2 linked regions of the Canis lupus familiaris genome follow. The protein of the gene in region 1 interacts with the protein of each later gene in a pairwise test. Links are inferred from orthologs where the notes say so. Each region holds a gene or a part of one and is shown in the gene's direction. Other genes may lie near its edges. The genes, in order: SPRY1 and GEMIN4.

Region 1 (4,370 bases):
AAGAACCAAACAGAATGCTCTGATATGATATTCTATCTCTGATTTGACTATTCCAAGTCCATTCATAATGGCCAAGAAACCTATGCATCATTGGTTAAACTTCATTGCATCCCAAAATATGAGATCTAAGAAAAAAGAAAATATCTACAAAATTGATTTTATCCTTTTACCCTATTTTTTGGGTTTATAGTAAGAGTGAATATGTAGCCTTTTGGCCTCATTCTTTTTTTTTTTTTTTTTTTTTTTTTTTTTGCTTCATTCTTGTTTTATGTTATTTTCTAGGGATGCTTTCTTCTTGTTGATGGTCTTAGCAATGCCCTAGCTTCCAAAAGAGGTTAATCCAAATACAACTTTAATGTTTTAAAGTGCTCAAACATTGAAAGTCTAGAAAACACTAGTTTCAACAGAATCATTTGTTATAGTAAAGAAGGAGCTTAAGCATTGAAAATTCCCATACCTAAATTTATACATGGTTTAGATTCTGGAGTTTTGTTTTGTTTGCCTTATTTTGTCAAAGACTAAGCTACTTATATCTAGTACCTGGAAAAAATACTTCTCTACTTACTATATATATTTTTGCTTTTTAGGTATTTTTTAAAAGGCTCTGTGGAGCCTTAACTTTCACATATAGTTCTCCTCACTGCAGCATAAAGTACACAATTTTTATAATAAATGTCTAAAATCCCATAATTTGTAAGAAAACAAAAGGTGAGTTTCCTACTGATTAAAATACTTTTTCCCCCCAGTAACACAACACATATCATTAAGAATTATAAAACTTCTTGGTAAATTATTTCTATTTTAATTGATTTCCAGTTGGCTGATTTTTAAAAATAAATGAGTTGGTTGCAGGTTTTTTTTTTTTTTTCCAAAATTATGGAAATCAATTACAAAATTGAAGGAAGTTGGGATTTTTAAATTCGATTTTTAGGAAATTATATCACAAGACAAGGTAGAGCACTTACTATAAAATCTACAGCAGGAAATTTCACCTTTATGAGGTAACGTTATATACATTTGCAGTAAGGAGTGTCGCCTTTTGAACTTTCACATTTCACACATTCTGAATTTGGCTTTAAATAGTAACTGTAACGTTACATTATCATCTTCTTAATATCAATATACATTTTCTCTCTAGCTGATCAGAAGTGTTGGCTTGGCATACGACTTTTTTTTTATCTTCTTTTATTCCTCAAAACTATTTTCTAATTCAACCTTAAAGACAGTGTCCGCCAATCCTTTGACTGAGACTGATGACGAAATTTAAAGGGTTCTTCTGTGACAAACTGCACTTGTAGGGTCTTTAGAGGCCATCTCCAATTTTTAGAGGATGTTTATCACCCACGAGTGTACAGGGCAACATTTCCAAGTTGGTACAGATGCACGAGAGAGGAAACGACAGTTGGAGAAATCCTGTTCCAGGTTTTCAGGCAGCCCGAATGATTGACATATGATATCACTGGAGGCGTGTCCTGGAGTGGAGGTGGAGGTGGAGGCGAGCTGAAATTCTGCGGAGCTGGAGTGGGATTGCTCTGTAAGGCACGCAGTGGTTTGCAGAGTGATAGCAACAGACAGAGCTCCTTACCCTGGATAAGGAACAGCTACAGTCGCTGTAAATGTGCCTGAAAAGCAATTTCCAATCTTTGCGTTAGGTAAGAACTGTTTCCTTCCTTTCATTCCGTAGGTATTTTAGGAAAGCTTAGGTGAGAAATGCTGGCTTTTGCAAGGAACTGAACATTTCTTTGAACTCGCTTTAGATCTAAGATTACTGGTTGCATTTCAAATTACCAGTAGCATTCCCAGTGCTAAAACGAATGCTCTTTAAAAAAGTAAACGCTACCGCTAAGAGGAAAAAGTAGGATCCTTTTCTTTTCTTTTCTTTTTCTTTTTTTTTTCCTTATCCGAACAAGTCTGAAGTCTGAAACGGTCGGTTGTGTGAAAAACAGGGTGGTTTTTGCCGAAGAGGGGCTGGCACTCGGTGTGTGGACCAGTACATGTTGGTTTAGGCATTGTTGGCGACCGAATCCCGAGCGGAGCGATTGTTTAAAACCTGAATTTCCCGTCCCCTGTGTATTGATTTCCAATGCGCAGAGGCGTTGCTTGAACGTTGTTTGAACTCCTGGCATTCCAAGGGGCAAAAGCACTTCGGCAAAACGTGCAAGACTGCATGTTACTTTGGTTCGCTGCTGACACGCCGACTGTGCGCCGGCCTGTCAATCACTGCGAGCAGCAACAGCCAGCACATGGCAGCGGGGCTGCGGGCGGCGGGCGGCGGGCGGCGGGCGGCGGGCGGGCGGGCGGGCGAGCTGGCGGGCAGCCCACCCCGCTCCCCGCTCCCCGCTCCCCGCTCCCCGCCGCCCGCGCGGCGCGTCCCGCTGCCTGCAAAGAAAGGGAAATTAATGTGCTGTTGTGTTTTGTTTTCCAATCGCCGATCCTCGGGAGCAGGCGTTCCGGCCGTGGAACCGGAGGGTCGGAGGACTGGGAGCGCGCGCTGCCCGGGAGAGGCGGACCCGCCAGGACCAGAGTCCCGGGGGCCGCTGTGCCCCCCACTTGCCCAGCGCGCGGGATCGGGAAAGTGCCTCGACCTGCGCGGGGGGGGGGGGGGGGTGCACGAAAGACGACGCCCCGCCTCTTCCCTTGGGAGGAATCCCCCCCAACCTCGCACCCTTCACCGCCACCCCTAAAACAGCGGGGCTAAAAAGCAAGACAAAACAAAACAAAAAAACCCAGAATATCCCCCGCACCCCGCCCCCGGGGGAGCCGCAGCCCCAGCCTCGCGGGCGTGCGCTCCCGGGCCGCGCCGGGGCCTGCTTGGTTCCGCGAGGCGCCCGGAGACGCCGGTTCGAGCCCCGTCCCCGGCGCCGCGGAGTCTCGAACGCCCGTGACGTGGGCTTTTCAGTCGTCGGGGGGCCGCCTCCTTCCTCGGCCGCGGGGAGCGCTCGGACCCGAGGGAGGACTGTCGCAGAGCACCGCGTGCCCCGGGGGCCCGGCCCGCGCGCTGGTCTCTGCCGTTTTCTGAGACTCGAGAGCCCTCTCGCAGGGGACCTTTTTTCCCCTTCCTGTTCTTTCTCTCCCCCCCCGGCTCGCGGGAAGGGGCTGCGGGAGAAGCCCGAGGTGGATGCGCCCGCGCCGCGCGGCGGGAGGGGGGTCCGCAGGAGTGTCCCCCGCAGCCGGGAGGGGGGTTGGCCCGGCCTCGCGTCCTCCCCGCCGCGCCTGATGCGGGTCGCGCCGCTCCGGCCGAGGTGAGTGTCCCGCGGCCTCCGGGCGCCGGCGGGGGGCGGGGGCGGGGGCGGGCGCGGGCGCCGCGCGGCAGGTGCGGGCCCCGGGGCTCGCGGCCCGTCCCCTTGAAGGGACGCCTCCGCGCCCAAGCGGGACTCGGGGCGCCTCGGGGGGTGTTGCCTCCGAGGAGCTGCCTCGCGCCGGCGGCGGGCTCCCGGGCGGGCTGTGGGCGCGGACGCGGCGGGGGGGGCGGGGGCAGGCGGGGAGCCCCGGAGCCCCCCCGCCGTCCGCGCTGACCCCTGCACAGAACCAGGCTGCGCCCGAGCCCGCCGCGCCTTCCTCCGCGTTTGGCGGGGCGAGGGGAGGGGAGGGGAGGGGAGGGGAGGGCGCTGCCGCTTTAAAAACGGGAAGTCCGCCCTCCTGAGGTAATGGTAACCTCAGCCTCCTCCCCTCCTCCTGCCCTGCCCGGAGAGAGGGAGCGAGCGAGAACTTGTTTTCATTCATAACTTTTTCCTTTTCCTTCCTCTCCGTCAACTATTTATTCGCCGCTCCCCTGCGCTCGGGTGCAGAGGGCGCAGCTCCGCCGCGGCAGCTGGCGGCGCCGCAGCACAGGGGAGCCTGCCCGCTCCTCCACGGGCGAGCTCGGCGCCCGCGCAGCCCCGGGGGCCCGCCACGCTCCGGAGGAGGCCTTGGGCGGCGCGCGCGCCGGGGCGGGCTGGAAGCGCCCGGGGCTCCCGGGAGGGCGCAGCCGCGAAGGTAGCGGCCGCCGAGGCCCGTCCCCGCGGGCGGCGCAGGTTGCCGGGGACGCACCGGGCGCCGGCGCCGCGGGGCACGGGCCGCCCCGCCTCACACCCGACGCGCCGCGCGGTCTCCCTGGCCGGGGGCCTCCACGGACTCGGGTACCACGATCGCGTGAAGCGCAGCGTCCAGGATGCGCCCGGCGCCCTCGCCCCGCTCCCCGTAGGCTCCGTGCTCCTGGGCGTGTGGGATCTGCCCGCGTGCCTCGGGATGCTCCGCCCCGCGAGCGCCCGGCTGCGAGCGCTTTGCAAGGAGGGATGAGGTCTGCGTGTGCCGAGGCTCGGGCTGTGCTCGCAGCCCCGGATTGCGGCGCTAGACCCGGCCGGTCGGCAGGGCGGTCCTGCTCTAGCTCG
Region 2 (4,585 bases), on another chromosome or scaffold:
CAAAGCCCCTTTCCCCTCAGTAATGTTGGGTTAGTAGTGAATAGACAATCCCTGAAGATAAGGGGCCTCAGCCTCTTCTTTCCCCTTTCCCCAAAGGCCAAGCCTCTGGGGAACGATCTGTTGACCTCAAAACTTGGGCGTTTTCATAGCATGATCTTCCCCCCAGCCCTTCTACTCCTGCCAAGTATCTGCATATACTCTTGGAATAGGAAAGCTGGGAACTCTTAGGATCATAAAACCGGTTGTGATGGAATTTCCCTGGAGAACTGCTTTTTTATATATTTTGAACACCTCCCCAGAACTCTGTCACTTGGAGTTTAATCAGCTTTCCATTAACACTCTCTTGCAGTTTAAGTGATTTATTGATGTGTCTCGGCTATGGTGGTTATGGTTTCAGGACGTTTCAGCCGTTGGTCTTTTAAGAAACCCTTTTCGCTACCAGAGGAGCCATGCTACTTCATTGTGTTTGATATTCTGTCCTCCTTAACCAGTATCTTTTTTCTTCAGTTCTTCCACCTTGGCAACATAGATCCTCATGGCATCCATCTTGGACATCCCTTTATTCTGGTTCCATGCCTCCCACTTGGCCTTGGCTTTCACATCTGTAGCAGGTGGGGCAGGGATGTTGCAGTCGCCTTGGGTGGCCTGTTTGTAGAAGCTGTACACCAGTAGCTTCTCCTGATCACTCACAGGTCCCTTCAACTGCTTGATAGCAGCACAGGCCATCTCAAACTCCACTTGGCACATTGGGGGTGCTGAGGCCCAGCCCTTGTGTCCTTTCTGGGTGATGGCTGGCACTGGAAGCTGGAGGATGGAGAATTAGAAACACTGGAGGCTAGTGATTAGGTCTGGGAGGAAGGGAATGGGAGCAAAGAAGACAGGGTAATGTGTGAGAAGAACATAGGATGTTTGTGTATGTGTTTTCTCAGGAGTCAAATGTGTTTTTATAAAGTACAGATTGGAAACTAAGGCCCACTGGAATGGATCTCCGCCACTATTGCTCTGGATAGCAAAGTGCATTTTCTGGGGAGGGCAACCAGTAACATTTCAAAGGTGCCTTTAATGCCAGAAAATTAAGGATGCTGTCCTCCCGTGAGAAGGAAGTGTGCTGGGGGGGCGCTGCGCTGTGCCGGGAGGAGGCCTTTCAGAACCGCCAGTCTGTGCTAGTTAGTGGGCGGCCTGGGGCGGGCGTTCAGTGCGGTGAACCTTAAGCGCGGGATCCCGAGGGTTACTGGATGGAAGCGAACGCGGAGCCGAGGCGGAGCTAGTGGGGTGATCCCGTGGGGATGATCCCCCAGGGCTGCGCTGGGCGGGGCAGAAGCAGGGCAGCGGCGCGGGCCAAGGGGAAGGTGGGGACCGCGGCTTGGGGGCGGGGCGGGGCGCGCCCGGCCGAAGGGAAGCGCGGGTCCACTTGCCGGCTGGCTTGGCGGAGGCCTCGGCTGGTAGGGGGCGCTGTGGGCCGGGCTGCTTGGGCGCCGCGGACCTGTTGGTGGGCTCTGCGCGTGCGCGCGGCGCGGCGGGAGGCCTGCGGACGGCGGCGCGGAGCCTGAGCCGAGATGGTGGGCGGGGGCTGAGGCGCGGCCCATTGTCCCGCCCTCCCGGAGCCGCCCATTGTGTCGTGGCGCCTGCGTCTCACTCGGAGCCTCGGGGGGAGGGGCGGCCCGCGCGACCCGCAGCGTCGCCGCCATGGACCTAGGTGGGTGTCGCCGCTCTCGGTCCTCCGCCCTCGTGGTCTGCGTCCCGCACCAGGCGGCCAGGGCGGTGCAGAGCGGGCCCGGGCTAAGGGAGACCTCCGGGTCGGGGAGGGCTCGGGAGGGCGGGGGTGTCCTCCGCGGCCGGGATCGGGAGGCCCGGCGCTGCCGCGGCGCCGCCGCCCCTCCACCCGCGGCTTGCCCCCCGCGGGGCGCCTTTCCACGTGAAGGGCCAAGCGGATGTGAGGTTAGATTTCCTCAGAGTGGACAGTGCTCGTGCACGTGCTTTGGAAAATGCAGGCTCAGAAGGATACACCGACGGTTTCGCTTAGTTAACCGCTGCTGAGCTCTTGGGCAAGCGTCCTCTGCCATGAGGTCCTCATCGATAAAACGGGGGTGACGATAGCATACCCACCACACACAGTTGGGGGCGTTTGATTGAGAGCACGTGTATACAGGGTCGGGTAGGGTGCCATGCGCGCAGCTAGTTCAGCCGACCGGCAGTTGTGGGGAGGGCCGAGGAGCCGAGGGGGCACGTTTGATTCAGAATCCTCACAGGCAGAGCCTGGGAGAAGGGAGCGGGGAGCTAGTATATGGTGACTCCTGTCCAGCCTCCCACCCTGCCGGTCATGCAGGAGGCTGTTCTCAGAGAGCTGAGGTGAGGCACCCCAAGGTGTGCCAGTAACAGGCTGTGGAGAAATGTTGTAGTCCTGCCCCCAGCCACGGCTTCAGTGGTGCAACAGTAGAGCTCAAGAGCTTGGAGCCCTGGAGCTGTGGTGATTTCCGTCCCAGGCCCCAACTACACTATAGTTGGGACATCCTGAGCAAATTTTTCTGAATCTCAGTGGTCCCATCTCTGAAACAGAATGGTTCTCAAAAGGTTGAGGATTAAAAGAGCTCTTGCACAGTGCCTGGCACGGAGTAAGCGCTTAATAAAGTTTTGGAGTGGGCACCTACAAGCCTGTTATCCAGTTGTGATAAAAACACTTGGGATTTGCCCAGCTATTCACCAATAGCTCCTGGGACTTACTCCTTCTGGTAGCACAATGAACATACTGTCTCTGGAATAATAGGTTTTGGGGGACAAACATCTCAGCTGAGCTGATTGTGCAACAAAATTAAATTTACAGAGTCATAAGAGAACATATTTTGGGGGCCTAGGAGAGCAGCCTGAACTAAAAAAAAGAAAGAAAAAAAAAAAAAAAGCCAGAATCCCCAGTGAGACCTGTCAGCAATCTAATCTTCCTGGGAGTCTGCCTAGGCCACTAGGAGCCAAGGTGGATTGCCTTCACCAGTTGGTTGCATAGGAGTGCTGATCCTTTGGCCTTTTGCTGCTCTCTTAAAGTTGAAGGGCAGGATCATTTTTAGTCTCCTAAATCAAGATTCTCTCTTGCTGGCTCCTGGGAAAGATATGTACTTGGGGGCATGAGGGAACGAGGAATTGGGGGCTAACACTGAACAACTAGCTCAGTACTCAGGGTGTGACTAGTATATCGCACTTGATCCTCCCAGTCTAGTATGAAGTCTGTGTTCTCCCCACAGATGCAGAAGGGAAGCTCAGAGAAGCTCTAGCTTCTAGATGGCTGAACTAGGATTTAAAGCTGTGTCTAATTAAACCTCCCCAGATGCCTTCCTTGATAAGTGTTGATTCAGGGCTTACTGGAGAAGAGACTTTTCTTTCCTAATCTACTAAGTATATTTTATGTCTACCTCTTGGTTTCTATGAGAGAACCAGAGCATTTGGTAGCTTGTTCTATTTGACAGAAAGAGCTGTGGGGTAAACTGTTTCCCTGAAAGGCAGAACATTTGAAATTTGTAAGAAGACTGTAAGACAAAAGGGGGAAGGCAGGGCTTGTTTGATTGCTTCTGCGGCCTCAGCCCTGGCCCCTCCCTTCTTAGGCTGAATCATGATTCAGAAGCTTGACTGCCATGTTGCACAGTACGCACCCTCTGTCACCCCTCCTCTCCACCTCCTCTGCTGGCCCATCCGTTACTGGAGCGCCTAGCCCTTTCCTTTACACATGGTTTTCCTGCAGAATCTCATTCACTTTGTTCGTTCCATTGATCCCCTCTAGGCAGACCCCTCCCTGAGTCACATCTCAGGGTTGACTCTCCTCTTGAGCATCAACCCCACATTTCCATTGCTGGAGGACATCTCTCTCTTAATGTTCTACCTCAAACTCCAAATAACCAAAACTGAACAGTGTTCCCCCCAAAGCTGTTCTGATTCTCTTCCTCCAGTGATAGCCATTGTCTTCTAAATCCAGGCTAGACTTTGAGAGTCCTTTATATTCCTTAGGTAAGTCCTTTTGATTCCAGCTCTACAGTGGCTAGAGCCATCTCTTCTTCCCCATTAGAACCCTTATCATCTCTAACCCTGGTGATGACAGCCAGCCTACCAACTGATGTCTCTGTCTAGCCTCTACTAACTATTTTAAAGATTTTTCACCACACTGTCTTGTGCGGCTTCTTTCTGTGCAGGACCTTTGAATATCTGTGAAGAAATGACTATTCTGCATGGGGGCTTTTTGCTTGCCGAGCAGCTCTTCCACCCCAAAGCACTGACAGAACTGACAAAGTCTGACTGGGAACATGTTGGGCAGCCCATTGTGGAGGCCCTAAGGGAGATCTCCTCCGCCACAACATGCTCCCAGCCCTTTGCCTGGAAGAAGAAAGCTCTGATCATCATCTGGGCCAAGGTTCTTCAGCCCTACCCTGTCACCCCTTCAGACACTGACACTCGGTGGCAGGAAGATGTGTTCTTCTCGGTAGGCAACATGATCCCTACCATCAATCACACGGTCCTTTTTGAGCTGCTCAAGTCTCTGGAAGCTTCTGGACTCTTTATCCAGCTTCTGATGGCCCTGCCCACCACCATCTGCCATGCAGAACTA

What was found.
Region 2: the proteins of SPRY1 (region 1) and GEMIN4 interact in binary tests that used the Homo sapiens proteins (3 or more experiments, as listed by UniProt). The link is inferred for Canis lupus familiaris from reciprocal best matches to the Homo sapiens genes SPRY1 and GEMIN4.

What each region holds. Positions count from the first base shown.
Region 1 is NC_049240.1:17,792,775-17,797,144, reverse strand, and holds the start of SPRY1 (protein sprouty homolog 1), read left to right. Parts: upstream 1-1,485; 5' UTR 1,486-1,652; intron 1,653-4,106; exon of another isoform or gene 4,107-4,370. UniProt on the Homo sapiens protein: Inhibits fibroblast growth factor (FGF)-induced retinal lens fiber differentiation, probably by inhibiting FGF-mediated phosphorylation of ERK1/2. Inhibits TGFB-induced epithelial-to-mesenchymal transition in lens epithelial cells.
Region 2 is NC_049230.1:45,007,935-45,012,519, forward strand, and holds the start of GEMIN4 (gem-associated protein 4), read left to right. Parts: upstream 1-1,586; 5' UTR 1,587-1,686; coding exon 1,687-1,696; intron 1,697-1,956; exon of another isoform or gene 1,957-2,066; intron 2,067-2,236; exon of another isoform or gene 2,237-2,349; intron 2,350-4,172; coding exon 4,173-4,585. Other genes in the region: diazepam-binding inhibitor-like 5, read right to left, coding at 484-804, 1,416-1,586. UniProt on the Homo sapiens protein: The SMN complex catalyzes the assembly of small nuclear ribonucleoproteins (snRNPs), the building blocks of the spliceosome, and thereby plays an important role in the splicing of cellular pre-mRNAs.